7 linked regions of the Macaca mulatta genome follow. The protein of the gene in region 7 purifies or fractionates together with the protein of the main gene of each other region. This does not show direct contact. Links are inferred from orthologs where the notes say so. Each region holds a gene or a part of one and is shown on either strand. Other genes may lie near its edges.

Region 1 (4,344 bases), on a different chromosome or scaffold from region 7:
GAGAAGGAAGGTGTGAACAGCCCCCGAAAGAGTGGGTGAGTGATTTGACCACGGAAATGTGGGAGCGTTGCTCAGCAGCACCAAAGGTCGGCTTGATGTTTATGATCATTAAAATGAGTCATGTTAGCATGCTCGTTTGTTTTTTCCAGTCAAATTCACTTGCTCAAGAGGAGTTCCAGAGTAGGTGGAGAGTTGGGGTTTTTCCTGGCTGGGAGAAAGGAGGGAGAGGGAGCCAAGGCCGTTGAGAGTACATGCACTAAAATGATGGGACCTGAATTTATGCTGGGAAAAGAGGGAAGTGTAAGAGCAGAGGGATAGGGAGAGGTGAGGAATCTGATGCAGGTAAGTAATTACTGGCACTAAGAGGTATGAGCTGGAATGGAAAGGGAATGTAAAGTGAGCTGCTTGAAACCGACACTATGGAGGGCACACAGTTATGAGTAAAGTCAATGGTGTAATACCAGGAGTGTGTGGCTGCGCTGGTGTGGGAAGATCACAGGAGGCTGGAAGCTGAGAGGCTGTATAAGCATTGCAGGAATCATCCATGTGGATATTGAAATCACCATGAATTATGAATGGAGCCAACTGTATTACTGGTTACTATTTTTACCAGACCACTGTACGCGACTTTAGATCCCTCAACTTCCCGTTTAGAGCACTTATCGCGGCTTGAAATATTAGAGCGATTATTTGCGCCGGGCACGGATTATTAGACAGTAATCAGGGCTTACAAGTCTGTTTCGTTTCTTGACTGACATACGATTAATACCCAAAAGGCAGGATGGATAGATAGATGAATACTAAGGCCGGGCGCGGTGGCTCAAGCCTGTAATCCCAGCACTTTGGGAGGCCGAGACGGGCGGATCACGAGGTCAGGAGATCAAGACCATCCTGGCTAACACAGTGAAACCCCGTCTCTACTAAAAATACAAAAAACTAGCCGGGCGAGGTGGCGGGCGCCTGTGGTCCCAGCTACTCCGGAGGCTGAGGCAGGAGAATGGCGGGAACCCGGGAGGCGGAGCTTGCAGTGAGCTGAGATCCGGCCACTGCACTCCAGCCTGGGTGACAGAGCGAGACTCCGACAAAAAAAAAAAAAAAAAAAAAAGATGAATACTATTCTATCTGTGATACAGAGAAACTTCAGATGTAATAAATTATAAGGCCAAATAACCCTACAAACAGGATCCACAGTTTCACATCAATGAAAAAGCAAGACTTCAAGAGGGCAGGAGTTTTTGTCTGCCGATTTTCCCGCGTCTAGCACAGTGCCTGACACATATTAAGTGCTCTGCAAAAACTGAATGAAAGAACACGCCCCATCAGTATCTCACCGCGCCTGCGCTAGATGCCCTGGGTGCGGCCAGCCTTGAAGCGCTGCGCCTGCGCGATGTCTCTTTGCGGGGCGCCCCGGTTGGTTCCCAGCCCCGCTTCGCCGCAGAGGCTTGGGCCGTCCGGCCCTCCGTAGTCGCTCGACTGTCGCGCTGCACCAGCCTCCTCCTCGGCGTTCCCACGCCTATTTGGGCGGATTCTTGGCGCCCGAGGAAGAGGTAGGCGCACCGTGTCTCCACGTCAGAGACCGGACTGTGGAGATGGCGGCCCAGAAGATAAACGAGGGGCTGGAACACCTCGCCAAAGCAGAGAAATAGTGAGTGAGAACCTTCCATGGGCCTGCGTGTGGACGCCGGGTCCGTCTCTCACTGGCGCGGCCTTAGCACCCGGCGGGGCGGGAAGGAGGGGTCAGGGATAAGGGGACCCGGCGCGCTGGTACCTGCGGGGCTGCAGGGGCTCGGTGTCCCCTGGGTCGCACTCCCGGGGTCGAGCTCCCGGGATCGGGCTGGAGTCAGGTCCGCTGCGCCTCGGGCAGCGCCGTGGGTCCGCCCCGCCGGAAGTCCGCTCCCCGTGGCTGGTGTGGGCGGGGACCCGGCGCGGTGCTGCCGGGCTGGTAGGTAAAGGGGGCTTCTCTACTTGTTGTGATCGGGGCTGTCGGTGCGTCGGAGGCTCGTTAGCAACATCCCTGGCCTCCACCTGCTGGGTGCCGGTCGCACCTCCTCCCCGTTTGTGGCAACCCAAAATGTCCTCTGGGGTACAACATCGCCCTGTCGAGAACCACTGCCCTTGAAAAGCTCCTTGTGTGGAGGGGACCATAGGTTTACCCCAAAAACTCCTCGGTGAACCTTTGTCATCTGGCAGTTTACTTTTCCTGTGGGCAGGGACTGTGCTCCTTTCGTCCTTTGATGTGTATGTCCTTCCACCTCTGGTACAGTACGTAGTAGGCACCCAGCAAATGTTTGTGGGACTGAACTGATACTCCTTAATTTATCCTTTGGGCAGCCTCTTCCCCCCCCCCCCCCGTTTCATTACTCCAGCGCATTTTTATCTGTCAGTTACAGTTAATAGAAAGCCAGCATCGTGCTCTGTGGTGGGGGCTTCACATACATCATTTCGTAAGCTGAGATCTTCACAATAACTTTCCAAATAGAGATGATAATTTTTCGTAAGAGGAAATGAGACTTGGGGAAGCCTCCTAACGACTTATGCCAAACCGCACAGGTGAAAGATGGCAGAGCCAATTTTCGAACAGTGGAAAAACTCAGGCTATCACATGACTTGAGGCAGTCAGTGTGTAAGGTACTGGGGCTCGGGTTCCCACAACAATCTGACTTTCTAGTGGGAGCAAACGCAAAATTTGTAGTAAGAGTAGTGTGTAGAATAGGGACCACAAAAAAAGCTGTATTAACTGTGCATAGGTAACGCAGAGGGAGAAGTTTATTCTTCATGAGAAAATTTGAGGAAGAAGGCCGGGCGCGGTGGCTCAAGCCTGTAATCCCAGCACTTTGGGAGGCCGAGACGGGCAGATCACGAGGTCAGGAGATCGAGACCATCCTGGCTAACACCGTGAAACCCCGTCTCTACTAAAAATACAAAAAAAACTAGCCGGGCGAGGTGGCGGGCGCCTGTAGTCCCAGCTACTCCGGAGGCTGAGGCAGGAGAATGGCGTAAACCTGGGAGGCGGAGCTTGCAGTGAGCTGAGATCCGGCCACTGCACTCCAGCCCGGGCTACAGAGCAAGACTCCTTCTCAAAAAAAAAAAAAAAAAAGAAAAAGAAAATTTGAGGAAGAGATGATTTGTGAGCAGGGCCTGAAAAATACAGAATGTTTTAGACAGAGGGGAAATCTTGTGAAAGAGATTCTGTGCGCAAACTGTAGTATGTATTATACACGGGCCTGAAAATGTGCTCTGGGAACAGTGAATGTAGTGTAGTCACAGTGCCAGAGGACGAGCTGGAGTGAAGAAGAGTTGGGGCCAGACTGTGAAGGGACGGCTTCTCAGATGGCTGTTGTAGGCATCTAACCAGAGAACCCGGTTAGATTTGCTTTTGGTGGAAGAAATGTGGCAGCAGGCTGGGCGCGGTGGCTCACGCCTGGAGTCCCAGCGCTTTGGGAGGCTGAGGTGGGCGGATCACTTGAGGTCAGGAGTTTAAGACCAGCCTGGCCAACATAGTGAAACCCTGTCTCTACTAAAAATACAAAAATTAGCCAGGTGTGGTGGCGCACACCTGTAATCCCAATTGCTCCGGAAGCTGAGGCAGGAGAATCGCTTGAGCCCCAGAGGCAGAGGTTGCTGTGAGCAGAGATGGTGCCACTGCACTCCAGCCTGGGAGACAGAACAAGACTCTGTCTCAAAAATAAAAAATAAAAAGGAAAAGAAAAACGTGGCAGCAGTGTGGAGAATGAACTTTGACATATTCAGTAAACAAACATTTACAAATTGTCTCTGCGTACTTGTGCCAGCCACTGAGGATACTGGAGTAACCAAAGTGGCCCCTTCTTCAAGAACTTAGAATTCACAGACGGGCAGACAAGTGAACAGAGGACTAAAAAGAAGATATTCAGTGCTAGAAGTATTCAGTGTAGTATGGTGGAGATATGAAGCAAGGAAAAGGTAATATGCTCCGGGTGTGGGGAATGGAAGAGGAGGAAAGGTGACTGTCCCATGAAGGTAGTGCCAGACATGTTAGTGGGTTGTTGACTTCAGGGGAGAGGTGGTGATGGCCTGGATTCAAGTACAATACAGGGGTGGGATTGGGTGACATTTGTCAGTATGTAGTTGACATGCTTTAATGACCTGCCTACATATAGAGATGAAGGGTTAGCTCCCAGGTTTCTAACTTGGGAGTGGGAGAGGCCTTCAGCCAAGATAGGGGATAGGGGTTAATGGATGTGCTTGGTGAGTAGGTCTGGGGCAGGGAGGTGTGGGGTTCAGGCTTGAAGTGTTAGTTTGAAATGCTGCTAGACAGTTACTCGGTTGGTGGTAGGAAAAATGGGCCAGGAGCTTAGGACATAT
Region 2 (4,217 bases), on a different chromosome or scaffold from region 7:
CCTAGCAACTGAAGAAAACAGTGAATAAAATCGCCTGTCCTCAAGTAGCTTTCATTCTAATTGGGGGATAGGGAAAATAAAAAAAAGATAATAATAAGTAAAACACATGGAATGTAGATCATGGTAAGTGCTATGAAGAAAGGTAAGATTGGGAAAGAGGAAGATGGAGTTGGGGTGTAATTTTAAACAGAGTAATTGGGGAAGGCCTCCTGAGAAGGTAACATCTGAGTAAAGACCTAAAGGAAATGAGGGAGTGAGCCATGGAGATTCTCTCTGAAACAGTATTCCACAAAGAAGAAACAAATACAAAGGCTCGAAGGTGGGAGCATTCCTGGTGGGTTCAAGGAGAGGGAAGAGAAATAGGGAATGAGGTCCAAAAGCTACATGGGAACCAGATCATATAAGTAAGGCCTTGTAGAACACTGTAAGATCACTTTGGCTTTTATCATGGTTGAAATGGGAAGAAGCTGGAAGACTTTGAGCAAACATATGGCATGATCAGTTTGGGTACTGTGTGAAAAATAACGAAGGAGAACAGGATCGTAAAAGCAAGGAGACCAAATAGGTTATTGCAGAAATTCATAGTGGATAGGATCTGGAAATAGCAATGACAACAGTCAGATCCTGGATGTATTTTCAGAGTAGAACTGACAAGATTTACTGAAAGATCTTACATGAGACATGAAAGAGACAAGTCAAGAAAACTTCAAGGTTTTTGACCTGCAACTAAAAGGATGCAACTGCCATTAACTGATATGGAGCAGACTGAGTTCAGATGGGAGGGCCAGACTAGGGATATAAACCTGGGAATCATCAACATAGAGAATACTGAAAGCTAAGTTGCTAGATGCTAACACTAATGGGACCCAGCAACATTGAGAAGCAGGGAAGATGTGCAAGAACTTGTAACGAAGACGCATTCAATGAAGAACAACAGTAACACAAAGCAGGAGGCAACTGATTCTACCTGTTGAACTGAAGGTATGGATAGAGAGGACAGTAAACCTGGAAGAAAGGAGATAGCTTGTGAGCTTGTGGGATGACATTCAAAAGACCAATAAAGATTTTTCAGGCAGGCAAAGCAAGAAACAGGCATGTTAGTTTACCTCTATCTTACTTTCCTCACCTGTAAAATGGAGATAATAATACATAATCACCTAAAGCAATGCCTAACCATAGTAAATGCTCAATAAATGCTAACAATTATCTCATCCACCCAAATATTTCAGTATCGAGAATATTTGAGGATTGTGAGTTATTTCCCAAAACATTCTCAATAGGCATGAGGGAAATAGCTAATTCTGTATTACAATATATACACAAGGATTTACCTTCCTCTGAAAATGAGGCAGAATTCAATGACAGTAAAAATATGATAAAGAATAGATCTAGCACAATCTATCTAGTAATTCTGTAAAATCTCAACTATGTTCATTTCTGCAGAAATACAAACGATTAGATTTTAATGATCTACAAAGTTTCTGCATACAAGTTTACTGCCATGCAAATTTATTTTTCAAAAAGCTCTCTTGTATTGGTACAGTTTCACTGACACGTTATTTTAATATGTAGTATAGTCATCAGAAACACAGCATTAAAACAAATGGAGCTTCTATTTGCTTAAACAGATACAATGAATGGCAGGTATGCCCCAAATCTTATTTGAACTTCCCTATATTTGATTATGCCTGACTTCACCTGATAGGTTACACTAAATTATTTACTGGGAAAAGCAGAACGCAACTCAGCATCTTTTGTGTGTCATTACTAGATTGAAGTCTAACATTTTTCTTTAATTTCTTTAAATGCCAAAGAAAGGAATCAAGTACAGCCCAAATTCCTTCTGTAGGTCATATGAATTATAAATTCATTTTTCTATTCATATTTATATCCAACAGGGCATAATTTCAGCAAACAGAATTCCAAGTATGCACATGCTTGACGCCTTATTTCTATTAGCTCCTCAGAATAAATGGCTTGAAAACTTTTAAGACAACTAGTTCAACCTTTAGTTTGTAGCTCACAGGTATAAACCAAGTTGTCGTAAGTTTTCAAATAAGGCAAAACTAATTTCTAAGAGGGAAAAAACCCCAAAACTCAAGAATATGTAGCTTCTTACATTTCTCTGCATAAATACAAGCTATATAAACATGCTCTATTGAAGATAAAATATTATTTTAAAACAATAATCTGTCAAACAATTAAAATGAGAAAGCTATTAATTCAATTCCTCAATGCCTTCCAGCAAGGTGAAGGAGAAAATCTTTTATCACCAGGCATTTTTCTGCAGGTACCCCCAAAAGGCTGGTCCGAAGTAGAGAAGTGGCGCAAAGCAGGCCGCTGTGAAAATACCTAAATTCTGTAATTGTGGTGGAAGTGCCAGAAAATGGGAGTTCTCTCAAAAATCAAAACCAGAACTGAACCACGCACAGAAACAAACTCGGAGACCTCATAGGTGGCAACATAGATAAGAAGCTATCTGCTGCTAGATCTTGTTGTGATGGCCTTCTGATGCCCACTAGGAAGGAGACAAGAGCAAGGCCATAGCAATCTGCCCACCGCTAAAGCTCCTTCTCCTGCACCACAGGAGGAACCGAGTCAAGCTAATGGCATCTTCTCCCCAAAAACTCAAAGGGGAGGGGCTCTTGATGTTCTAGGGACTGGATTAAACTCCCGGAGATCGCTCTCTGAGCTGCACGCACCACGACCGAGTGAGGGCGACAAGCACAGGAGAAGAATGTCGTCGGGGCAGTCACGAAGCTTCAAGAAGAGAGTAAGTCAGTACCTGTCTGCCTTTCCCGAATACTGGCTGCTGCTGCTGTCGCTGCCGCCGCCGACGCCATCTTGACTCCCACGAGCCACTGCCCGGCTGGCGAGCGGAGCCGGGGGATGACGTGGCTGCCCTTACCGCCCCGGAAGCAAAGCCCGGAAGGGCGGGGCAAAAGGGCGTGCCTGAGGGCCGGACTCCACCTCCTCGAGGAAGACCTCCACTCTCGATAGAACTGGGAGAGCCGGTGCAGGTTAACTCAGTGGCCCGTAATGTTAGCCGAATACTACGAGTTTTTATCCTGTCTTATCAAGCCACACTCTCTCAAATGGTAGCAACATTAAATTGAACTCTTAGGGTAGGAGCGTGTAGTGCTAAGAACCTAATTACTGAACTGTTGGCTTGGTGGCTTACAGAGCACTGACGGGGTGATAATACTCTAGGAGTATAAGGACCACAGGACTGAAGTAAATGAAGCTCCTGAAACACAGGCAACATTTTAACGTTAGCTCTAGTTTCTCAGTGCAGCAGGAGTCTTCCCTTTGCTCCTTTTTCCAGAGAAACAGAAAGCATTGGAGCTTCACTCTAATCTGGCATATTTCTCAGTCGCATCTCTTAAAAAAAAAAAAAAAAAAAAGGGTCTAGCTTTATGGTGGCGTTCTGCCGGCATGGACACGGGATCCAGGGAGGTACAAAATGAGAAATTAGCATCTCTCCTCTTTCCTTGTAGTAATTGCAAAATCACATTGCCGTGGGAAGGAAGTTGCCCAGGCTCAAGTGCGCAATCAGGGCTCACTGCAGCCTCAAATTCCGACTGTCAAACGATCCTCCTGCTTCAGCCTCCCAAGTAGCAAGGGACTACAGCGGCACACCATCAGGACAGGCTGATGTGCTGGTTTTTTGTTGTTGTTGTTTTTGAGATAGTATCTCACTCTGTCGCTCAGGCTGGAGTGCAGTGGCAGAGTCTCAGCTCACTGTAGCCTCGACCTTCTGGACTCAAGCAATCCTCCCAAACTATCCTTCCACCTCAGCCAACCCAGTAGTTGAGACTACAGACAGGTGCCACCACGCCCAGCTAATTTTTTTTTTTTTTTTTTTTTTTTTTTTTTTGTAGAGACGGGGATTCAGCATGTTGGCCAGGCTGGTCTTGTGCTGGCTGTTTAATGTACACTTGAAGCCACATGACCACAAAATTTACGGGATTTCTAACTTAATCTATAGATTTTACTGTATGACAAAAATGGATACACAATGACAGCTCATTTCCCGAGTTCATTGATGACACTTCATTATGAAGCTGCACCAAATTCTGAAATGAAATCAGACTCTGCCTCAAAAACTTGACTTTCAAAATTATATAAATGAAATGAAGTTAGCCTAACGATTATGTAAGACTGTTTTATAGTGTGAAACAATGGCTTTTTTCATTAATAAAAACTTTATTTTTGTG
Region 3 (4,221 bases), on a different chromosome or scaffold from region 7:
TGACTTGTGCCCGTAGTCCCAGTTACTTGGGAGGCTGAGGTGGGAGTAGCCTTGAGCCAGGAGGGAGAGGTTGCAATGAGCTGAGATTGCACCATTACACTCCAGCCTGGGCGACAGAGCAAGACCCTGTCTCATAAAGAAAAAAAAAATAAAAGAATTATGATTATTCAATAATACAAGTCAGTAAGCATTTTTCCAGAGCCAGCAATGCAGTCTCCTTTCAATTGTAACGTAGCTCCTGTGTTTGGGCCTTACATAATACTACAGCTAAGGAGAGGCACAGTTTTTTTTTAATTTATTTATTTGTTGAGATGGAGTTTCGCTCTTGTCACTCAGGCTGGAGTGCAATGATGCAATCTCGGCTCATCGCAACCTCTGCCTCCCGGGTTCAAGCGATCCTCCTGCTTCAGCCTCCTGAGCAGCTGGAATTACAGGCACGCGCCAACACACCGGGCTAGTTTTGTATTTTTAGTAGAGACAGGGTTTCTCCATGTTGGTCAGGCTGGTCTCGAACTCCCGACCTCAAGTGATCTGCCCGCCTCGGCCTCCCAAAGTTTTGGGATTATAGGCATGAGCCACCCGCGCCCCACCCACAGTTTTATTTTTAAGGTACTGAATTCAAACAGTTTCCTTCTATGTGTTAAGAATTGTTACATTAAAATATAAAGGTAAGAAAAAAATTGTGACACGATCTGTTTTCTTGGAAATAGTTTTTACAACTTTGCATGCGAGGATGATTTTGTTACCTTGTAAAACAGCTTCCCAATACAAAAGCTAATAACCCAAAGAAATGTTTCTACTGCTAAAACAATTACAATTAAAAATGAGTAAAACTCTAACTGGAACCACAAGTCCTGATACTCTGAGGCTCTGGGACTCAATTCAAAGGAAGTGGTCTCCAACAATAACAAAAATCAAGATGATCTCTGGCAGTGGAGAAAAGCAGAACTGAAGAGAAGAGGCGAGGTGATGTATCATGAAGAGGTGAGGCCATCAGCCACTTTCGACACAAAAATCTCTGAGGCAGCAGAGCTTGGTGGTATATACTACCTTGGTTCTCTCCTCTTGTTCCCTTACTTGGACTCATAAACCTCTTTAAGACATCATCCATCTCCTCCAGAACTAACTGGGGACTTCAGGAGATGAGTGGGTTGTAAGTTCAGAGATCCTGGCTTCAAGCAAATATCCGTATTAACAGAAAATAGGTGAGGGGAAGAAAAACAAAGAAATAAGGGGAAAAAATTACTTATAAACATGTAAGTTTTGGGGGAAGTAGGGAAAGGGAAAGAGGAATGACAACTTAGGTCCGGGAGAAATTACTGCTAGTACCAGGACAACTGGGCAAGTGAAGTGCCCACCAATCCGAAGATTAATGAGCGCATCCCCCTTTCTACACTTTACATCCTGGAGCTAGGGTAAGGACAAGCCTAGCAGCCAGATGATGGTTCAGTTTCCCTAACAAAACTAAACAAAAATGTAAAATCCTTTTCTGTGATTAACTACTCAAATCTGTAGAGAAAGATAATCCCCGAAACAACATTTTCCAAACCAAAGTTACAAAAGATCATATTTATATTCACCTGCTCATTCACTTATTTTTCTGAGCCCCTAATAAGTAAGCACCAAGCAAATCAGACCCAGCTCCCACCTTCACAAAGGTGACAGTCTAGCATAGAAAATCAGATGTGCTAAAACACAAAAGCAAACCCCAAAACAAAAACACTTCCAGATGGGAGATGTGAAATTTTTTAAGTGTGAAAAACTATCTTGTACCAACTTTGACATAAAACTGCGTTATATAATAAATCCCCAAGAAGGATGAGAAACAAGAAATGGGGATGGGGAGATATGAAAAATACTAATGCTAATACAGCAACTAACAACACCAAAGGGGCTTTAAATATGTTTTTTAAATTTAATCTACCTAACAACCCCATGACAGAAGTACAATTTCCCCCCATTTACTAAGAAGAAAAGTTGAAAGAGACTAAGCAGTCTGCTTAAGAGGCACAACTTTTATTTTATTATTTTATTTTATTTATTTATTTGAGACGGAGTTTCACTCTTGTTGCCCAGGCTGGAGTGCAATGGCGAGATCTCGGCTCACTGCAACCTCTGCCTCCCCAGTTAAGAGGCACAACTTTTAAGTGACAGAGGTGGGATTTGAATCTAGGCACCCTGATTCCTACCTCTATTTTGCCACATATAATTATAACAATATTATTACTAACACAACAACGCCGCTGTAGATTGTAGATCCATCAACTACGTACTTTCATTCATTTTCTTTTAATACTCACATCTCTAATTAACAAACGAAAACATTAAGACTCTTAAGACGTTAAGAAACGTTTCCAGGTTATACAAGTTCCAAGGGAGTGAAGTCGGGATTCGAACTCAGATGGCTCAGATTCCGAAGGCTCTTTTCACTGCACCCCACACCCGAACTTGACTCTTTACCCTCAACCAAGGCAAGCCCTACCCCTCCGGGAAACAGCCAGCACCACCCACTCCAGCCTCGCGCCTCACAGACACACTTGTTCGGGCGGCGTTCCACCGCCCGCACCCTCCCCGCGCTCCCCAGCACCCTCGCCCAGTCGGGCAGAGCTCTCACCAGGCGGGAGTCGTGGGACCCTCGCAATCTTGCTAGTGATCTCTGCAGTGAGCACCGCGAAGTCCTGCTCGTAACCTTCGAAGTCGGACGACATGACGGCTCCGGAACGAGTGGCCCAGGCCAAAGCCTAGGTCAGGGAAACGGCCTCGAGGGGCAGCGAGGGGCGCCGCGGCTTAGGAACCCCGGGAGGTGCCCCCGAGAGCAGAACGGAGAACCGGGAACAGCTCTCAACCCAGTCGCTTCCTGGTTGTTCGTCGCGATCTCGGTTCTCCGGAAATTGGGTTGCGTGCGTGCTTTATTTTCCGCTCCGTCTTTAAGATAATTAAGTTCGCTAAGGAAAAGCGCCCCAATTAGTGGCCCCCCAAAAAAGCGTATGAAAATATGCAGGTTCTGAGGGATCATTAGGAGAGTTTTTTTTCCCCTTCGTGTTCTGGGAATCGGCTCCGGATCCCCAAGCTACAGGTCACAGGAACTTGCTTCCGGAGGGAAGTTTGAGGCGGCGAACCCCCGGAAGTGACTGTAACGGAGACTGCGCAGGGGTCCTGAGCGGGAGAGTCGCGACGAGGGCGCTGGTCGAGAGGCATTTGGCTTGTAGCAGGTCCCGCACTCCAACCTTTCGCGGCCAGGGTTTGCTCTCTGCTTGTCCTGGACTGAGGTGCCCATGACGGAGTTATCCAAGGAGGAAGAAATCTGTTCCGGGTGAGCCCAGGCCGCCCCGGATATGCGATGGCTGAAGAGCGGACACCAGGGACCACACTGAGGTGGGAGTCAAGGCAGGGAATATAAGCAGGATTTTGGTGGTCTTTGCCCCCCCAGAGTAGGAGCCGGCCCTCCTGAATGTTGAGACCGACCTGGCTTACTAGGATATTTTTTCCTTGGGTGAGGATTTATTTCTAAGCCCTGTGCTCGATGACTCGGGCGGGAAACTGAGGCACAAGTCAACAGCGTCTGCTCTGTGGTAGTCTGTATTATCTATGTAGCTCAGATCTTCTTCCAGATCTTCGGATCCTGTCCAGGCAGAGATGCCCTTTCACAAATCTCCCCCGAGTTCGCCGTCCTGCCTTCCGTTTCCCTCGCTCCAGGAGGCACTTCCTCTTCTTTCTTCCCTGGAATCTTCTAATTCAGGTTCTTCTCCTGTATTCTTCTGGTCATAATTTCACACACATCACACACACTCTCGCTGTCTCTCTTCCTTTCCTGGCGTGCTCTCTTTGCTTTCACTCTCGCTCCTTTACTTTTGGGCCAGATTGACTGTTCTCTTGATGTTTGGGTGGCGGGATAGAGGGGAGACTGCAGGCAAATGGCATAGACCATGTCTGATTCACACTTGGCTTAATTCAAGACTTTAGAATTTCATAAAGGGAGTTCATTGACTTGCCTTCTATTCTGGTTCACCCGTTTGTGACCTTGGTCTAATCACTCAGCCTCTCTCAGCCAATTTCTATTCTGTGAAGAATTCGGAAACCGAATTAGATCAACTCTAAGGTCCTGGTTGTCAGTTCTAAAATTCTTTGTCTTCTCAAACTATTCACTAAGCATTGGATGGTGACAGTCCCCTGAGAAGCTGAGAAGGAATAAAAACAACTATTTTGGAATCATGTATCCAG
Region 4 (4,345 bases), on a different chromosome or scaffold from region 7:
AAAAAATGTCTTCCAGCCACCATTCAGAGAGCTTTTCACCTATCTTTCCAGGCGCCTCTCAACATATCAATCATTTGTGTAAGGCAGTGCAGTTATTTGAAAGATAGACACTAATTTAATTCACCTTTTCAGTTACAATCCTCTGAAAGTCTTCTAAAAGGCATTTTCCAGCGATGACGAACGTCCTCCTTTCTGAGTATTGTGTCATCGCTGCTCCATTCCCTTTCACTGCAGAGCCTCTCCTTATCTCCCTAGTGCTCCCTCTTCCATCTGATCCATCTGGCCGCTACTGCCAGAGAAATTGTGCAGCACGGATCTCCCAAGTCCGTGAGTCAATGGTTTCCAGGGCCCACTACAATCAAATGACATTTTTCTTGTTTACCCTCTTTATTCAGTCTTCTTTTCACTTGTACCCAACCTGCACCCTGTAGGTGGTCTGTGCACACTGCGTCCATTTTCACTGCTGTCTTTGTTCATGGTGTTTGTCCAACCCTTACTGGAAAGTTCTTTTCTGCTAGTACCCAGCTCAAATCCCACCGCCTTTGTGACAGTCTCGTTTATTCGAATATATACGAATGTTTCCCTTTTCGAAGTATTCTATTTAGAGTTGGAAAAAACAGCATAGTATTTAAGTACTGTATTTTTCACTTCTCATTTAAGAGACCCACCAATGACCAAACACCTATAGTGTTTTATTTTTTGATGTCGGTAACTGTGTTGGTAGGAATATTTCAGTGACAAATATATACAAGGTAACTCACTGCGTTCAGATTTGTGCTTCCCTCCCTTCGACCAAAACCTGAGGACCTATTCTGTGTTAGGGCCTAAAAATACAGAAATGAAGGAACTACAGTCTTGATGCTAAGGCTCTCGTAAGCAGATTATAATATGATCTGCAGGGACAAATATTTGTGTTACCGAGGAAAACATGAGCGGGAACCTAACCCAACCCCATGTGACAAATACCTGAAATGGACTTCCTATTTCAACTACTTTCTCAGAGAAACATGGTGCCCTCGGGATCACTAGGTTAATCTGGAACATTCAGCAGAAGCCAATCATCTGTCTCTAATACTGTTAGAGAGAAATGGTCCCGAGCCCAGAATAACATGAGTTGCGCCCACCCTCACTTATCCACACAGTCCCCAGCCAGTGCCTAATGCGCCACGTTTGCAGACCACGTCCCCAAGCGCCAGCGCGGGCCGCGGTGCAGAGAGGAAGCTGTATTGACCTGCACTCTGCGTTTCAGAGCCCGGACCGCCCTGGGACCCCTGTGGCCCTCAAGTTCCCAAGTGACCTAGTCCAGGGAGTGGACATCTCGCTCTGACCCCGCCCTGGACGAGCCCGCCACGACGCGCCCGCCCACGACGCCCCCGCCCACTTCCGGCGCGCCCCCTCTGCGCCCCGCCCACTCCCGCCGGCCCTGCCTAGTGACGTCTTTGCCCGGAGTCGCGCCGTTCCGCCCATCTCCTTGGCCTCCGGTCCCTACTTCGCTGCTCTGCTGACCCTCGCTCGCCGCCGCCGCCGCCGCCGCTGCCAAAATGTGAGTGACGCTGCGCGACGCGGGCGGCTTCGGGCCCCGCAGGCGGCAGCTCGCGCTGGGATCGCCGTACCGCCCAGTTGCCGCCGGCCGCCGCTCGGACGCAGGCCGGGGCTGCGCGGGGATCCCGAGGCCTGGGGGTGGGCGGTAGCCCTTGGGGCGCGGGCTGCAGACGGGCCGGGCGGGTTCCGCTGCCATGGGGCGGACGCGGAAGGGGCGAGGGCGGGGCGGCGAGGCGCTTCCCGGAGGAAGTGAGTTGCCCGCCCGCACCCCGCTCCTCGCCCCTTCCCGTTCTAGTCCCAGAGGTCCCGGAGAGGAACGGGGACGACTGCCCTGGTTCGGGAGGGCCGGCTCTCGGCCCAGTTGGGCCCCGGAAGTTGCAAAAGAAAGGACCTCGGCCCTGTGCTGAGCCACTGTGGGCCCAAGAGCTCCTTGCCTGGCTAGGGGCATCTGCACTGGAAAGATCACTTAACCGTGGGCCTTCGCACTCTTAAGCGAAAGCGCTCTTGTGGCCCTTGCAAACCGGTGCTTCCAGTGGTAACGCTCAGAGAATGTTCATGGTTAAGAATCACAAGGACCCTCTCTTCCACCTCCATTCTGTTCATTGCTCACCGTCGGAGGAAGCCCCGGGTTTCTTCCAGGAGTTGGGGACCCCCCCTCGAATGTTCCTGCTGAGGCTGCTGTGTCAATAGATCACAGTGGTTAAGATCTAGATCCCAGGTACACAGGACCTGATCTAAAAACAATCTGAACGGCAGCCAGCTGTGTTGACTTTTTAAACCTCACTTTACTCATCTGTAAAATGGGAGTAATATTCCCCTCAGAGAGTTATGAGAGTTGAAGGAGAAAATGCATGAAAAGAGTCTAGCACCACGGCATGGTCCTTACTTATCTACCAGACACTAAACTCTGTGAGGACGGCGATGAGATCTGTTGTAGCCCTGGTCATTGACACATGACAGATGTAAAGTGACTGTTCAAACAGTCCATCAGACTGTTGTATACTAAGGTACATGCTAGGTGCTATCTAGGATACAGAGAAGAGAGTAAGAAGACCCAGGAACCTGTAATCTATTCGAGGAGGCAGGACTTTATACCTGAAAAACCAAAGTGATACTTTCCAAGTAATGGAGCCAATAATGACTTCAGAGTCAGAGTGGTTAAGAAGGATCTGCATGAGGAGAAATAAAGCCTTTGATGAAGATTTTAAAAGATGAGTACCTTCCCGGGGCGGGCGCGCTGGCTCATGCCTGTAATCCCAGCACTTTGGGAGGCCGAGGCAGATGGATCACCTGAGGTCAGGAGTTCAAGACCAGCTTGACCAACATGGTGAAACCCCGTCTCTACTAAAAATACAAAATTAGCCGGGCGTGGTGGTGCATGCCTGTAATCCCAGCTACTTGGGAGACTGAGGCAAGAGAATTGCTTGAACCCAGGAAGCGGAGGTTGCAGTGAGCCGAGATCACACCATTGCACTCCAGCCTGGGCAACAGGAGGGAAACTCCGTCTCTCAAAAGAGGAAAAAAAAAAAAAAAAGAGTACCTTCCTAAAAGGGGAAGCATTGCTTCAACACACCTTTCCACTCACACCAACCGCTCCCTGCATCCCAGTGTTCCTGACTCTGTTTCTGTAAATTAATCTATTTTTCTATATTGGAAAAAGGGCATTCTATAACTGTTTATAACTATGAAAACAGTTCCTGCCACAATGAAAAGATCAGGAGAGTACTGAGTACGTTCAAGCAGATGTGTGCCTTAGAACAAGTTTCAAAAAAGGACAGTAGAGTTTACCTGTCGTGGGATCAGATACTTCAGGGATACAAAGTAGGTCCTATTAAACCTTCACGTTTGTCCCTTTAGTAGGTGGGACAGTCTTGGAAATTATAGAGAAATTAGAAGAAATGTAATTAAAACTTTTGTTCATTGCTTCAGGAAGAATTTCTTTTTCTGCTTTAGTTCTAATGTAAGAAATTGTTAACAGTGAGAGTCCCGGAGTAACTTCTTTATACTTAAGAAAATGTATTTGGAATCATAATTTACTCATGCTCCTGCCTTTACATGTTCCAGGTCTACAGGTCCAACTGCTGCCCCTGGCAGTAATCGAAGACTTCAGCAGACACAAAATCAAGTAGATGAGGTATTGCTCTGAAATGTTGGAAATATGAATTTTAAACAAGTATGAGCACTCTGGAAATCTGTTTAGAAAAAGTATCATGAAAGTGTGAATGTAAAGCAAATTCTGACTGTATCATAATTGTAACAAAACTTTGCTCCCTGCTGTGCTGGAAGATCTAAGCAAAAGTCAGACTTTCTAGGTTTCATGCTTGTTTTCCTGTGGTAGAATCACATACCTGCTCATAACATTTAGCTCAGGAAAAATAAAAAATCATATGCTTAAAACATGAACACCACTCCCTGAGTGTATTCCCCAAGAACCACTTTATAAAATAGGATAATACAATGTTAGGATTAGGTCTTTAGATTGCTCAAGCCAAGACCAGTTCTTCTGATCAGATTTTTTATCAAAATGCTTTGTCCACTTACTAGTTATCCAGCCTGAGCAAGCCTCTCTGTAGAATTCATCTCTAATGGCTGTCCACTGACTCACACAAAGTAGATACTGTCAAACTCCATTAGCCCAGCAAATCTCTATTTGTAGAATTCTTGAGCTAGAGGACCTTCATCTTTTGTTCTGCACTGTATGTGGAGAACCACAGCAAAAGATTGAGAAATTCAGACTAGTATTTCCACATTCCTAAAAGCTGTCACTGTCCAACAGATATGTTTCGGTCTTTCTGCATTTAGC
Region 5 (3,584 bases), on a different chromosome or scaffold from region 7:
TCACTCCGGCCTGGACGAAAAAGCGAAACTCCATCTCAAAAAAACAAACAAAAAAGAGGGCAGGCATGGTAGCTCAAGCCTGTAATCACAGCATTTTGGTAGGTTGAGGGAGGAGGATAGCTTGAGGCCAGGAGTTTGAGACCACCCTGGGCAAAAAAGCAAGACCCCTGTTTCTAAAAAAAATAAAAAGAAAAAAAGAGTTATAACATTTCACTAGCTTTCTGTTAAGAAGGTTTTTTTATGGTTTTTTTTTTAAATAGAGATGAGATTTGTGCTATATTAGCCAGGTTGGTCTTGAACTCCTGGCCTCAAGCAGTCCTCCTGCCTCAGCCTTCCAAAGTGCTAGGATTATGGGCATGAGCCTCCATGCCTGGCCTGTTAAGAGGTATTTAACCCAAAGCATAACCTCAAGGAAGTTTCTGAAAACCAGGAGATGTGATTCTGTTGAACTAACTGGCAAAGCACTGATAGGTCACTTAGCTTGCTCTTCTCCACCCACTTGGTACTGAAGGTACCAATGCAGCTTGCACTTTGAGAGTGCTCTGGAAGATGATGGGGCAACATAATTCAATGAGTTCAAATCTCTGGCTACTTTCCTTGTCTGGCAAGCCCCAGTGAGATTACAGAGCATACCCCTAAATGGAAGCAGCCAGGAGTCCCATCCCTCATAATTCTGCTACATGTCAGCTTTGTCCATGGAAGCTGAGTCTTTGTTTTCCTGGTATAATCAGTTCTTTGCTTCCGGATATGAAGAATGTGGCCCTCCAGTACTTTATTGATAGCAGAGGAGTGGAGCCCTGGTAATGTCTTTGCATAGGTTCTGCTGGCAGTAGAGATGCTGGCAGTAGAGATGTCTTGTAATGCCTTTGAGAGGAGAAATCACCTAGTGTGCTTGTCTGCCTGCAGCCATGAGGAGTGGAACCAGATGCAGAGCCAGGAGGATGAGGTGGCCATCACTGAGCAGGATTTGGAACTTATTAAAGAAAGAGAGACGGCAATTCGGCAGCTGGAGGTGAGAGCCAGGTCATGTTTTTTGTTTGACTCAGTGTATCTGCAGGTATCTGGACTCGTTAGTTCACTTTAATTCTCTTAGTGATTATGAAAAAGCATAAAATGTGTCATTGTGTGATTTGTATTTTTTCTGTCTCTGTGTAATCATGGTGGGTTTCAACTACTGTTTTTTTGTTTTGTTTTGTTTTGTTTTCTTGGACGGAATTTCGCTCGTCGCCCAGGCTGGAGTGCAATGGTGCAATCTTGGCTCACCGCAACCTCTGCCTCCTGAGTTCAAGCGATTCTCCCGCCTCAGCCTCCTGAGTAGCTGGGATTACAGGCATGTGCCACCACGCCCAGCTAATTTTGTATTTTTAGTAGAGATGGGGTTTCTCCAGGTTGGTCAGGCTGGTCTCGAACTCCCGACCTCAGATGATCCACCCACATCGGCCTCCCAAAGTGCTGGGATTACAGGCGTGAGCCACTGCACCCGGCATGAACTACTGTTATAACGGTATTGGCTTTGGTGCCCAGGAGTACTCAAATCCTTTCTTCAATCACCACGTCTTATATGGATCACCATATCTTATTTCTCCTGGAGAGATGTACATGGACAACAGAACAAGGCAGACAGATATTTTATTGCTCATTAGAACTTTGACCTCAAATCTCAGTGCCAACCTCTGGTTTAGGCAGGACTCCATGGAGAGCCCCTTTGCTTAGTCTGAAGAGCCCAGAATAAAGGCAGGCCAAAAGTCTTGCTCCATTTTTATGTATCCTAAAGTCTAATCCCAAGTTGTAAATCTTATCCCTTCAGTGGGTCAGAGAAATAGGAACAGTTTTTGAGGTGGAGGTTGAGGGAGAAGTCTGTAGGCCTTTCTTACCTAACTGAGCTTTCAACTTTAATTTTGCACAGTGACTAATAAAAATATCCTTTTTTTTTTTTCCAAACTGAGTCTCGCTCTGTCGCCCAGGCAGGAGTGCAGTGGCGCTATCTCAGCTCACTGCAGCCTCCCCCTCCTGGGTTCAAGCAATTCTCCTGCCTCAGCCTTCTGAATAGCTGAGACTACAAGTACGCGCCACCACACCCAGCTAGTTTTTGTATTTTTAGTAGAGACAGGGTTTTGCCGTGTTGACCAGGCTGGTCTTGAACTTCTGACCTCAAGTGATCTGCCTGCTTCAGCCTCCCAAAGTGCTGGGATTACTGGCATGAACCACTGTGCCCAGCTAAAATATCCTTAACCCTGAGTTTTCTCCAGTTTAGTTTTCTCTGAAGGTAGAAGGCTGCCATTGCTGGGATTGGGGGAGGAGAAAAGGAGAGAGGGAAATTTTGAGCAGTGGTTCTGAATGGTGACTGCATGTGAGGATCACCTGGAGAAGATTTTTTTTTAATGCCCAGCTCTCATCTAGCACTAATTATTTGATGGAATAATATGAAATTCCTGTTTATTATATGTTAAACATGGGCAAATATCCATTATTTTATATGGTTCAAACTAATAAATCATAATTTCTGGGCATGAGGCCCTGGGCATGGGTGTTTTTTTAAAAAGTTCCCCCAGGTGATTATAATGTGCGGCCAGGGTTGAGACCCACTGTCCTAGAGGCCATCAATGTCTGTTTTAATTTATTTATTATTTATTTTTTGAGTCAGAGTCTTACTCTGTCACCCAGGCTAGAGTACGGTGGCGCATTCTTGGCTCACTGCAACCTCTGCCTCCTGGGTTCAAGCGATTCTCCTGCCTCAGCCTCCCAAGTAGCAGGGATTATAAGTGCCTGCCACCACGCCTGGCTAATTTTTGTATTTTTAGTAGAGATGGGGTTTTGCCATTTTGGCCAGGTTGGTCGTGTCTGTTTTTAGATGGGATAGTTTATCCTTAAGTTATGATTATTTTATTGCCTTCAAAGATGTCATATCTTTACTCTTTTTCACCTACTGCTACTACTAATTGAATTAATTGTCTAACATTAGAAATACGGCTAAGTGCAATGGCTCATGCCTGTAATCCCAGCAAGTTGGAGGCTGAGGCAGGATGATTGCTTGAGCCCAGGAATTCAAGACCAGCCTGGGCAATGTAGCAAGACCTTACCGCTACATAAAATAAAAAATTAACTGGGTGCTGTAACATGTACCTGTGGTCCCAGCTACTCAGGAGCCTGAGGTAGAAGGATCACTTGAGCCCAAGAGATCAAGGCTGCAGTGAGCCACGATCATGCCAGTGCAATCCAGCCTGGGCAACAGAGCAAGACTCTGTCTCAAATAATAATAATAATCCTTCCTTTAAAAAAAAATTACTGGCCAGGTGCAGTGGCTCATGCCTGTAATCCCAGCACTTTGGGAGGCTGAGATGGGTGGATCACTTGAGGTCAGGAGTTCAAGACCAGCCTGACCAACATGGTGAAACCCCATCTCTACTAAAAATACAAAAAATTAGCCAGGTGTGATGGTGCATGCCTGTAATCCCAACTACTTGGGAAGCTGAGGCAGGAGAATCGCTTGAACCCGGGAGGCAGAGGTTGCAGTGAGCAATTGCATTCCAGCCTGGCAACAGAGCGAGACTCTATCTCAAAAAAAAAAGAAAAAATACAGTCAG
Region 6 (4,026 bases), on a different chromosome or scaffold from region 7:
TAGTTGGGTTTAGAAATCATTTTCAAAAAACTGTGAGTTAGGTAAATATATCTGTATATATCCTGACGTATCTATTTTTCCAAACTGTATACTTTAGCTATCCATTTTTAGTTCTTTTGCTTAGCTTAAATATTTTTTTTAAATTGCCTAACTTAGAAAATAATTTTCTAAAGTGGTTTGATTCAGAGAAGGACTTTTAAAAAGCTTCCTGTCTCAGATACTAAGTTTTTAAACCATCTGACTAAATGGGGGAAAAAAAAAACCCTCATGTTACCCAAAGGTTCAGGGTATTTTGAACCTTAATGATTAAAAATTGAAAAATAAACAATATGTTTTTCAATCAATTAAAACTGATACCTTAGAAATCTTAATATCAGTTTCAGTTGTTTTTGAGGCAGCACAAAAATCAAGTCATTTAAGGAACATGTAGTTCTTATTTAACATTACTGAAGTACCATTAAGGAATTGTATTCATCCAATTGCTACTCAATTTCTTGGCTTATTTTTTTCTTCAAAATTAGCGCTAGAATTAGCCCGTTTCTATGCTACCAGACATCTTTATATTTATTTCAATATAATGTCATTCCTTTCAGTTTATAAATGTAAAACCCTTCAACTTCTTAACTGAAATCTCACACACACTCTGTCCCTGTTTCTAGGCTTTTTGACCTGAGTTTACATGCTTTTATTCCTGAAACCGCTCATATGGCTTAAAATCACTTTTCTATCAGTTATATGGCCAAAGACATTCTCCACTTGTGACTTACAAAAAGGAGAAACTGTCTTTGTAGACATGATAATCATGACATATGGCAAAATTTTTCTGAAACATTTAGATAAAGTCACAAAGAAAAAAATGAACTGGCAATACAGTCCCTAGGAGGTGAAATAAATGCGGGGTTTCCAAAATTGCCTATCAAGTATAATCCCCAAGAATGTGGTCCTGGGATGGCTATAACCCGCCTGTTCCAACGCTGCTTCTATTCCAACCTAGCCTCCCTACAGCAGGTAGCCTGAACTACAGCCAATTTCATAACTTCACTTTTCAATTGAAGACATTACCGAGCTAACGATCACTGTCTGGTATAGATCATCTAGACTCGCCCCTTATTTAACAGAGCAGTAAACTGAGGCTCAGAAAGGGAAAAGTAGCCCCCATTAAAAACAAACCAGAAACAGTAATTTTTCCAGGACCACCCTTAAAAAACACTACTGCTAGGCTAACTAAAGGTTCTGGCTAATTTAAAAAAAAAAAAAAAAATGTTATTTTAGAGGGTTAATTTTCACATATACCTCCTCAGGCTTTTTTAAAAAGTTCGAATGGAGAGGAAAGCGTAATTTCCCGTCTGGGAAATGGAAAGTGAAGAGGCTAGCACCTCGAGTCTTAGAAACCCAAGCCCCCAGGAAGAACAGTGAAACAATTATTCATAGGGAACAAGGCCACACAAGGGCTGCGGGACCGTTAAAACGGGCAGAAAAACAAAACAAAACAAAACAACAACACAACTGCTTCCTCTTTAGGAGAGGGAGTCGTTCATTTGCAAGGATTTGGGTCCATGGTCCCGCGACCCAGCCATTAGGACCGAACTGAGGCTCACTATTGGGGGGAGGGGAGCTTCAAACAAAACGAAACAAAAAGGCTTCAGAAAGGCCCAATGCTTCCCAATGTTAGCGTTAAAACATATGTAAATTACAGGCGGCCTGTAGCGCAGTGACGCCAAGGCGGGGGATGCGCGGGGGGGGTGCTGCGGAAGTGAGGAGAAGACAAGGCAGAGGTGGAGCTGCGGCCTCACAGCACCGCTTTTTCCCCATCCAGGGTTACAGATGCCCCCTGATTCTAGCCAAGAGATCTTATTATCCTTAGTCTTATTATTCTTATCTTCTTTTATTAAACAGAGAGACAGACAGAGACAGACAAACAGGCAGAGCCGCAGTGCACACGGTCCGTGTGTCGGAGAGGCCGCCGGGAGACTCACCGCAGCAATGCTACGTGAATGCAGAGGGCTGGAGGTGGTGTGACTACTCACTTGCTCGGCTAACAGCTGCCGGTTTTGGATGGAATTATTCCGCAACAACAAGAAAGCGTCGGTTAAACGCCTGGTGGCCATGTCTCACCCTTTGTGACCCCCCTCTCAGGGGCCCCCCGCCCACTTATATTCCTGGTTTATTCACTTTCTTTCTCTTGACCCGGCCGGCCCACCCTTTCACAGAAGCTTCTCGACAAGGCCTCAGGCTTCAAGCCAAAAAGACGCAGCTGTGCCCTTCGCCAAAGCGTAGAGACCCCTCCCCAAATAACTACCTAGGCTTTCCAATTGTCTGACTCCCCCTACCCAGGACCGACTTCGATCTCTAAGCACTTGAATCCCCCCAATCCTTGCGTAGCGATCCAACGTTCCAGAGACCCCACCCCAATCCAACCTTGGATCTACAAGCGTCTAACTCGCCAATCCAGCTCTGGACTGGGAGGCCCTGAAGCCCCCTACTCCCTGAGACCCCCAAAGGTCTTTGCTCTCTACCCCTAACTTGGCTCGTAAGCGTCTAGGCCGTGCCCTGAGGTCTGGCTGTGACTCAGTTTCCCCACCAGAGGCCTGGCCTAGGCCCTCTTTGGACAACCGGAGCCAGGCCTGAGGCCTGGACTCCAGGGCGCCTGCAGCTCCCTTCTGGGGCCTTGTCTGAGCCTGCTGAGGCCCTGCCCGACCTCCTGACCCCTTCCTTTCCTGGGTGGCCTGGTCCTCCACTGCCAGCAGGCTGCTGGCCTGCAGGAGGACAGCAGGGCCTGCCTCCCCGGCCTTCTCACTCCTCTTCTCCGGCTCCCTCCATCCCCGGATCTGACTGCAGCTCAGCCCCGGGCCGTTTCCGTACTGTGGTCCCGGGTTCTGGCGTCCCCCCTGGCCCTCTTCCTGTCCGTCCCTCGCGAGTGCCCCCCTGCGACTCTCGCAAGCCTTGCTTGCAACGTTCCGGGCGCGGGAGCTCCCTGCACTCCTGCCCCGGGGCACGAGAGTGCTCCGCCCTCTCCCGGGGTGCTCCTGGGGCGCCCCGTTTCGCCTTCCCCAACTGGGTCTAGGCACTAGGAGCAGGCCAGCGAGCAGGCCCGAGCCTGGGGAGCGTGACCCCCAGGCTGCAAACCGCTGCCAGGGCCCTTGGTCCCTGCATTAGAGTGGAAGTTGCGCGGCAGGCAAATTTGGGCTCCCCGAGAGCCGAAGTTTTGGGCGCGGGGAGTTGGAGCGGGAGAGGAAAAGTTGGAGACGACTGCCTCTGCAGGCCGAGCACGCTCTACTGCAGGCGCTGGCGCTCGCTTTTTTTTTTTTTTTTTTTTTTTTTTTTTTTTTCCCACTCTGAAAAAAGATGTACCCGACAAACAACCAGGAGGAAAAAAAAGGAAAAAAAAAAAAAAAAAAAAAAAAGCGAAAGCTCCAGGCAGTCTGGCCGCGCAGCCGCCGGCAGTCGGGGGTCGTTGGGGGCGCCCGCCCTCCCCAGCTGCCGCTTTCTGTAGGTGGCACTACAGGGTCGTGGAATCTCAAGTGGAAAAGTTCCCCGAAAACTTTGACACCTCCTGCCCCCGTCCCCGCGAAAAATATCTCTGTTCCCCGCCTGGGCCCTGGCCCGGAGCACCCCGCGCCCCTGGCGTCCCGGGCCCGGTTTCTCGCCGTTGGCCAGGCCCGGGGCGCCCTAAGCACCCCGGCTTGCCGTCCCGGGCCAAGTCGGCGGGGTTCGTGCAGGGGCTCCTCGGGGCCGCGTCGGGCAGCAGCTGCCCGGGCCCGAGCACGGCGCCCAGAAACAGGCGGGCGCCCAGTGACGGAGGCTCTGGTCTGGCCCGGAGCCGCCCGGGAAGCCTGAGGCCAAGGGCCTGGCCCAGCGCTCGGCGGGAGCGGGTCGAGGGCGCAGAGCTGTGCTGCTGCGCCTTCCGGGCCCCCGGTCTGTCTAGGGCCGGCTTCCCCTTGCCGGGCGAGGGTGCGGGCCGGACTCCGGAGTGGGGTTCCAACAAAACACCTAGGCCCCAGAAGCGGCCCCCACGCGTCCTTTGTT
Region 7 (4,105 bases):
GGTGGTGAGGCTGGGACCAGAGTCCCTTGTTTGAGGCCACATGGCTAGGGACCTGTAGTCCCAGCGTTCCAGATCTTTGTGACTCCCGTTGTCACGACTTTAGCTGTAGCTCACATGCCCACCTATTTTCGGGGCGCTTGGCAAAAGAGGGGCCAGAGAGGGCAGTGGGAGGGGACGTGGCCAGAGGGAAGGAGCTGGAGGGTTGGTGCTAGATTTTGCTTGGCTGGAGTTTTCCTGCCATTGCCTGGCAGAAGCATGGAGTCCAGGATTTCCTGGTGTCCCTGGCTGCCCAAACCCCTGCCTCACGGCCTGGGGTGATGGCCCCACACACCCCCCACACACACACCCCATAGAGCCCTGCTCTGCTGTGGGCACCGGTGGTGGGCAAAAGCTTGGGCTTTGTCAGACCAGGTTCACATTCCCACCCCATGTCTCACCGTGCCCTGGGCAGGTCACTGCCCCCTCTGGATCTGTTCCCTCACTTTCAAAAAGGGGCTCACCGTTATTTGACCCTCTCAGGGTCCTCAAGAAGCACCAGCCCCAGGCCTGCCATGGAGGATGTGCTCATTTGTCCCCTGCCCCAGCTGAGCCAGGTGGGAGGAGGCAGTGGGTACCTGTCTGAGGAGCCTTCCCCCTCCACCCACCTCTCCCTGCAGCCGTCTCTGCCAGCCAGGCTGGTGCTGAGCTCAGCTGCGGGAAGGTACTGACAAACAGAGCCAGGTGACACCTGAGGCTAGAGGAGGGGCGCAAAGAGCTGACTCAGTATCACCAGACATCCCCAAGTCCCCTCGGCTGCTAGGCCAGCAGCTCTGAGGGCCCTCTTGTTACTAACTCATCCTCCCCCTTCCCTGCTGCCCAGCTGGCTGTCCAGAAGTATGAGGAGCTGTTCCCAGCTTTCTCTGATTCCCGGGAATGCAAGTTGATGAAAGTAAGTGCTGGGTGCTCCAGCCTCCCCCTTCCCGAACCCCAGATGGGGGTGGCCGGGGCTCCAGGTGGGACAATCATCAAGACTTGTCCAGTGGTTCTCAGAGGGTATGTTTATTTTGTTTTCTTTTCTTTGGCCATTTGACTCTCCATTTTTCAGATAAAGAAAGTACAACTTGGGGAGTGCTGGAGCTCGGGATGGCTGGGTGAACACACACACACACACCCCACATGCACATGACACACATCCCACACACACACCACACCACACACACTACGTACACCACACACTACACATACCACATACACCAAACACTACATACACTACACCAAACACTACACACACCACACCACATGCTACACACACACCACACACGACACACACCTCACACAATCACTACACACACCACACACACACACACGACACATTACACGACACACCACACACATCACACACGACACCACACATACCACACACGACACACACCCCACACGACATACCTCACACACATAACACACACCACACGACATACCTCACACACATAACACACACCAAACACACCACACACACACCAAACACCACAGACACACACACCACAGACACACCACATATCCACACACACACACATTCTGTGTGATGTTCTATGTTGGTAAGGTTGCCCTGAGAGCTAGCCGTTTCTGATGAGTAGGGCAGCAGGATTGCAACACGCCCCTACCTGTCCCCAGTTTAACCCACATGGACTGACCCTCTGAGAGTCCTCAGGAAACCCCAGCCCCAGGCCTGGCATATAGATAGTGTGTGCTTTCATCTAATCCAGGCCGACCTCAGGTCAGCCTGGGCCCCAGACCCCTCTCTGCCATTTCCTTGCAGAAGTTGCTAGAGGCCCACGAGGAGCAGAATGTGGACAGCTACACCGAGTCGGTGAGTGGCCCGCATGGGGGTCAGGCCCCTTCACAGGGATGGGTCCCCTAGGAAAGCCGCCCTTCTCAGACATGCTCTCCCCTGACATTCACCCATTTTTATCTGGCCCCCAGCCCACTGTGAATTTCTTTCTCCATTCACCCCAGAAACCTCACAAGTAGCCCCAAGAGATGCAGGGAGTGTTTTCCCCATTTTACAGATGGTGGCCTTGGCACCTCAGGGGCAGAGCTGGTGTTCAGAGCCACATCTGTCTGCTCCTGAAGACCAGGGTTCCTTGAGTCCCCCAGTTGAGTGTGTGAGACTCACAGTGGCCGCCTTGGGCACCCAGGAGGCACAGACTGGGAGGGAAAGGGTGAGAAGGAGAGTGGAGCTGAGGACACGGGAGAGGCGCCAGCTTCCCTCTGCCTGGTGGAGCCGCCCACGTGGCTCTCTCTCCCTTCCCTTTCTCTGTTCCCAGCGTTCCTGGGCTCAGTGGCGTCCGGCTTATAGGTCCTGATTCGCTCCTCTAATGGCACATGTCAAGCATTTCTCCCCAGGTGCCCCTTGGGAATGGAAGCCCCTAGCTGAGGACAGCGAGCAAATGCCATCCGGTTCCTCTTGCCCCGGACAGTGGGTGGCAACTCAGCCAGGAGCTCAGGGAGGGGATGCCCAGCAGGCTGCGGCTTCTCTCTCCCATGCCCCATGGCACTCAGGAGTGGCCTTTTCCGTATCTCCAGGCCTCAGTTTCCCACCCATTCAATGAGGATGCTGGACCTTTTTTTTTTTTAAAGCTACAATCCCTCTCCCCCAAGGGAAATGTTGTGCCTAGCATAGTCAAGACAGACAAGAAGGAGCTCCCCTGGCTGAGTCGGGGCCTCGAGCCCTCCCTCTGCTCCTTCTCAGAGACCAGGGTGACAGGGACAGATCTTGAAAACCTTCAGACAAGTGCCCTTGGGCTGCAGGGTTGGGAACAGGGAGGAGCATGGCCAGCCCATCACCTGGTGTGCCCTCAGGTGAAGGAATATGACTCCATCTCCCGGCTGGACCAGTGGCTCACCACCATGCTGCTGCGCATCAAGAAGACCATCCAGGGCGACGAGGAGGACCTGCGCTAAGCCCCACCCAGCCTCCCAGCGCCCGTCTTCGTGTCCCATCTGCTTAGAGAGAGGTGGGGCCGAGACTTGCTGGAGAGCTTCCCTCCTTTCCCACCTGGGGAGTCCCGCAGGCCACAGTGGGCAGGTGGCAGCGGGGGTCAGCATGCGGGGGCACCAGAGGCCCAGGCTGCTGGCTGGACAGTCACCCTCTGCTCTCGCTACATCCCTTGCTCCCTGCCCATTTATTTAAGCCCCCATAGGTGCCCTTCACCCCCAAAACCAGCTGTACAGAATCTTTGATACAGACCTATTTGCTAGGGGTGCTGCCGGGGGTTTGGGGTCAGCATCTGGCCCCCCATCTCCTGACCAGCTGATTCATGAGGCCGGTTTCTGTCTCTCCCACTTTTGTCCCCCAGCCAAGCTCTAAAGCACATGTAGCCGCTGAGACTTGCTGTCTCTACGGGGGGAAGCTCCTCTTCCCCCAAACTCTGGGAGCTTCCCCCAGCCTCCTGCAGCCCCGACCTCTCAGGTTAGACCCCGGGCCCTGGAGCTTAGGGGGTTGTCCCCGACCCCAGCCCCACACCTGCTCCTTCCCTAATGCTTTGAGGTTTTCTTGGTTGGAAGCTGCAGCTGGCCCGAGAAAGAAAATAAAAAACAACACTTTTGCATGAGTCTCTCTTCCTCCTTGTCTCTGCTACCCACTTTGCCCCTGGGCCGGTCACCTGTTCTCCTCACACTCCTGGTCCCCCAGACTCTGGGCAAGCTCTTGGGAGGTTGGGAGCATGCATCCTTGAAACACGTGTGGGCTGGGTCAGTTTCTAGGTTGGGGAGACCCAGGGATGGTGGGCCTGGGGAGGAGCTCTGGCTTGGAAGTCCCAGAGCGCCCATCTTGATCTAACTTTCTCTGGGTTCTTGGGGTCCAGGGACCTTGGTTTCCTCAACTGGGATGCATGGTGATGATGCCACCCCTCAGAGCCAGTGGGAGGGTCGAATATGACAATCCTCATGACTGCTTTGGATGAGAATGGGTGGAAGCTCGCCGAATCTCCCATGTCCACATTTCCCTGGCAGGAAGGCTGAACGCCCCGGTGACAGTTGTTCCATCTGTCACAGGACGGGGGAGGAAGCGGCTTTGGTGGGCAGAGTCTGAGGCCCGAGTGGGTCTGGGGAGTGGGGGAGGAGATAG

What was found.
Region 1: the proteins of NAPA (region 7) and NAPG purify together in Homo sapiens (affinity purification with mass spectrometry; 3 studies listed by BioGRID and IntAct, counting the BioPlex papers as one, with this or other methods). This does not show direct contact. The link is inferred for Macaca mulatta from reciprocal best matches to the Homo sapiens genes NAPA and NAPG.
Region 2: the proteins of NAPA (region 7) and SCFD1 purify together in Homo sapiens (affinity purification with mass spectrometry; 3 studies listed by BioGRID and IntAct, with this or other methods). This does not show direct contact. The link is inferred for Macaca mulatta from reciprocal best matches to the Homo sapiens genes NAPA and SCFD1.
Region 3: the proteins of NAPA (region 7) and VTI1A purify together in Homo sapiens (affinity purification with mass spectrometry; 3 studies listed by BioGRID and IntAct, with this or other methods). This does not show direct contact. The link is inferred for Macaca mulatta from reciprocal best matches to the Homo sapiens genes NAPA and VTI1A.
Region 4: the proteins of NAPA (region 7) and VAMP3 purify together in Homo sapiens (affinity purification with mass spectrometry; 3 studies listed by BioGRID and IntAct, with this or other methods). This does not show direct contact. The link is inferred for Macaca mulatta from reciprocal best matches to the Homo sapiens genes NAPA and VAMP3.
Region 5: the proteins of NAPA (region 7) and STX12 purify together in Homo sapiens (affinity purification with mass spectrometry; 4 studies listed by BioGRID and IntAct, counting the BioPlex papers as one, with this or other methods). This does not show direct contact. The link is inferred for Macaca mulatta from reciprocal best matches to the Homo sapiens genes NAPA and STX12.
Region 6: the proteins of NAPA (region 7) and STX16 purify together in Homo sapiens (affinity purification with mass spectrometry; 4 studies listed by BioGRID and IntAct, with this or other methods). This does not show direct contact. The link is inferred for Macaca mulatta from reciprocal best matches to the Homo sapiens genes NAPA and STX16.

What each region holds. Positions count from the first base shown.
Region 1 is NC_133423.1:81,479,297-81,483,640, forward strand, and holds the start of NAPG (gamma-soluble NSF attachment protein), read left to right. Parts: upstream 1-1,476; 5' UTR 1,477-1,589; coding exon 1,590-1,645; intron 1,646-1,768; coding exon of another isoform or gene 1,769-2,145; exon of another isoform or gene 2,146-2,797; intron 2,798-3,120; exon of another isoform or gene 3,121-3,715; intron 3,716-4,344. Other genes in the region: uncharacterized protein LOC114673869, read right to left, coding at 1,769-2,145. UniProt on the Homo sapiens protein: Required for vesicular transport between the endoplasmic reticulum and the Golgi apparatus.
Region 2 is NC_133412.1:103,727,473-103,731,689, reverse strand, and holds the start of SCFD1 (sec1 family domain-containing protein 1), read right to left. Parts: upstream 2,856-4,217; 5' UTR 2,844-2,855; coding exon 2,786-2,843; intron 1-2,785. UniProt on the Homo sapiens protein: Plays a role in SNARE-pin assembly and Golgi-to-ER retrograde transport via its interaction with COG4. Involved in vesicular transport between the endoplasmic reticulum and the Golgi.
Region 3 is NC_133414.1:124,588,151-124,592,371, reverse strand, and holds the start of VTI1A (vesicle transport through interaction with t-SNAREs homolog 1A), read right to left. Parts: upstream 2,868-4,221; 5' UTR 2,709-2,867; coding exon 2,615-2,708; intron 1-2,614. UniProt on the Homo sapiens protein: V-SNARE that mediates vesicle transport pathways through interactions with t-SNAREs on the target membrane. These interactions are proposed to mediate aspects of the specificity of vesicle trafficking and to promote fusion of the lipid bilayers.
Region 4 is NC_133406.1:233,019,318-233,023,662, reverse strand, and holds the start of VAMP3 (vesicle-associated membrane protein 3), read left to right. Parts: upstream 1-1,478; 5' UTR 1,479-1,541; coding exon 1,542-1,543; intron 1,544-3,606; coding exon 3,607-3,676; intron 3,677-4,345. UniProt on the Homo sapiens protein: SNARE involved in vesicular transport from the late endosomes to the trans-Golgi network.
Region 5 is NC_133406.1:213,128,272-213,131,855, reverse strand, and holds part of STX12 (syntaxin-12), read left to right. Parts: intron 1-906; coding exon 907-1,012; intron 1,013-3,584. UniProt on the Homo sapiens protein: SNARE promoting fusion of transport vesicles with target membranes. Together with SNARE STX6, promotes movement of vesicles from endosomes to the cell membrane, and may therefore function in the endocytic recycling pathway.
Region 6 is NC_133415.1:111,443,229-111,447,254, reverse strand, and holds the start of STX16 (syntaxin-16), read right to left. Parts: upstream 2,846-4,026; 5' UTR 2,109-2,845; coding exon 2,028-2,108; coding exon of another isoform or gene 1,965-2,027; exon of another isoform or gene 1,897-1,964; intron 1-1,896. UniProt on the Homo sapiens protein: SNARE involved in vesicular transport from the late endosomes to the trans-Golgi network.
Region 7 is NC_133424.1:59,984,910-59,989,014, reverse strand, and holds the end of NAPA (alpha-soluble NSF attachment protein), read left to right. Parts: intron 1-859; coding exon 860-928; intron 929-1,795; coding exon 1,796-1,846; intron 1,847-2,838; coding exon 2,839-2,940; 3' UTR 2,941-3,591; downstream 3,592-4,105. UniProt on the Homo sapiens protein: Required for vesicular transport between the endoplasmic reticulum and the Golgi apparatus. Together with GNA12 promotes CDH5 localization to plasma membrane.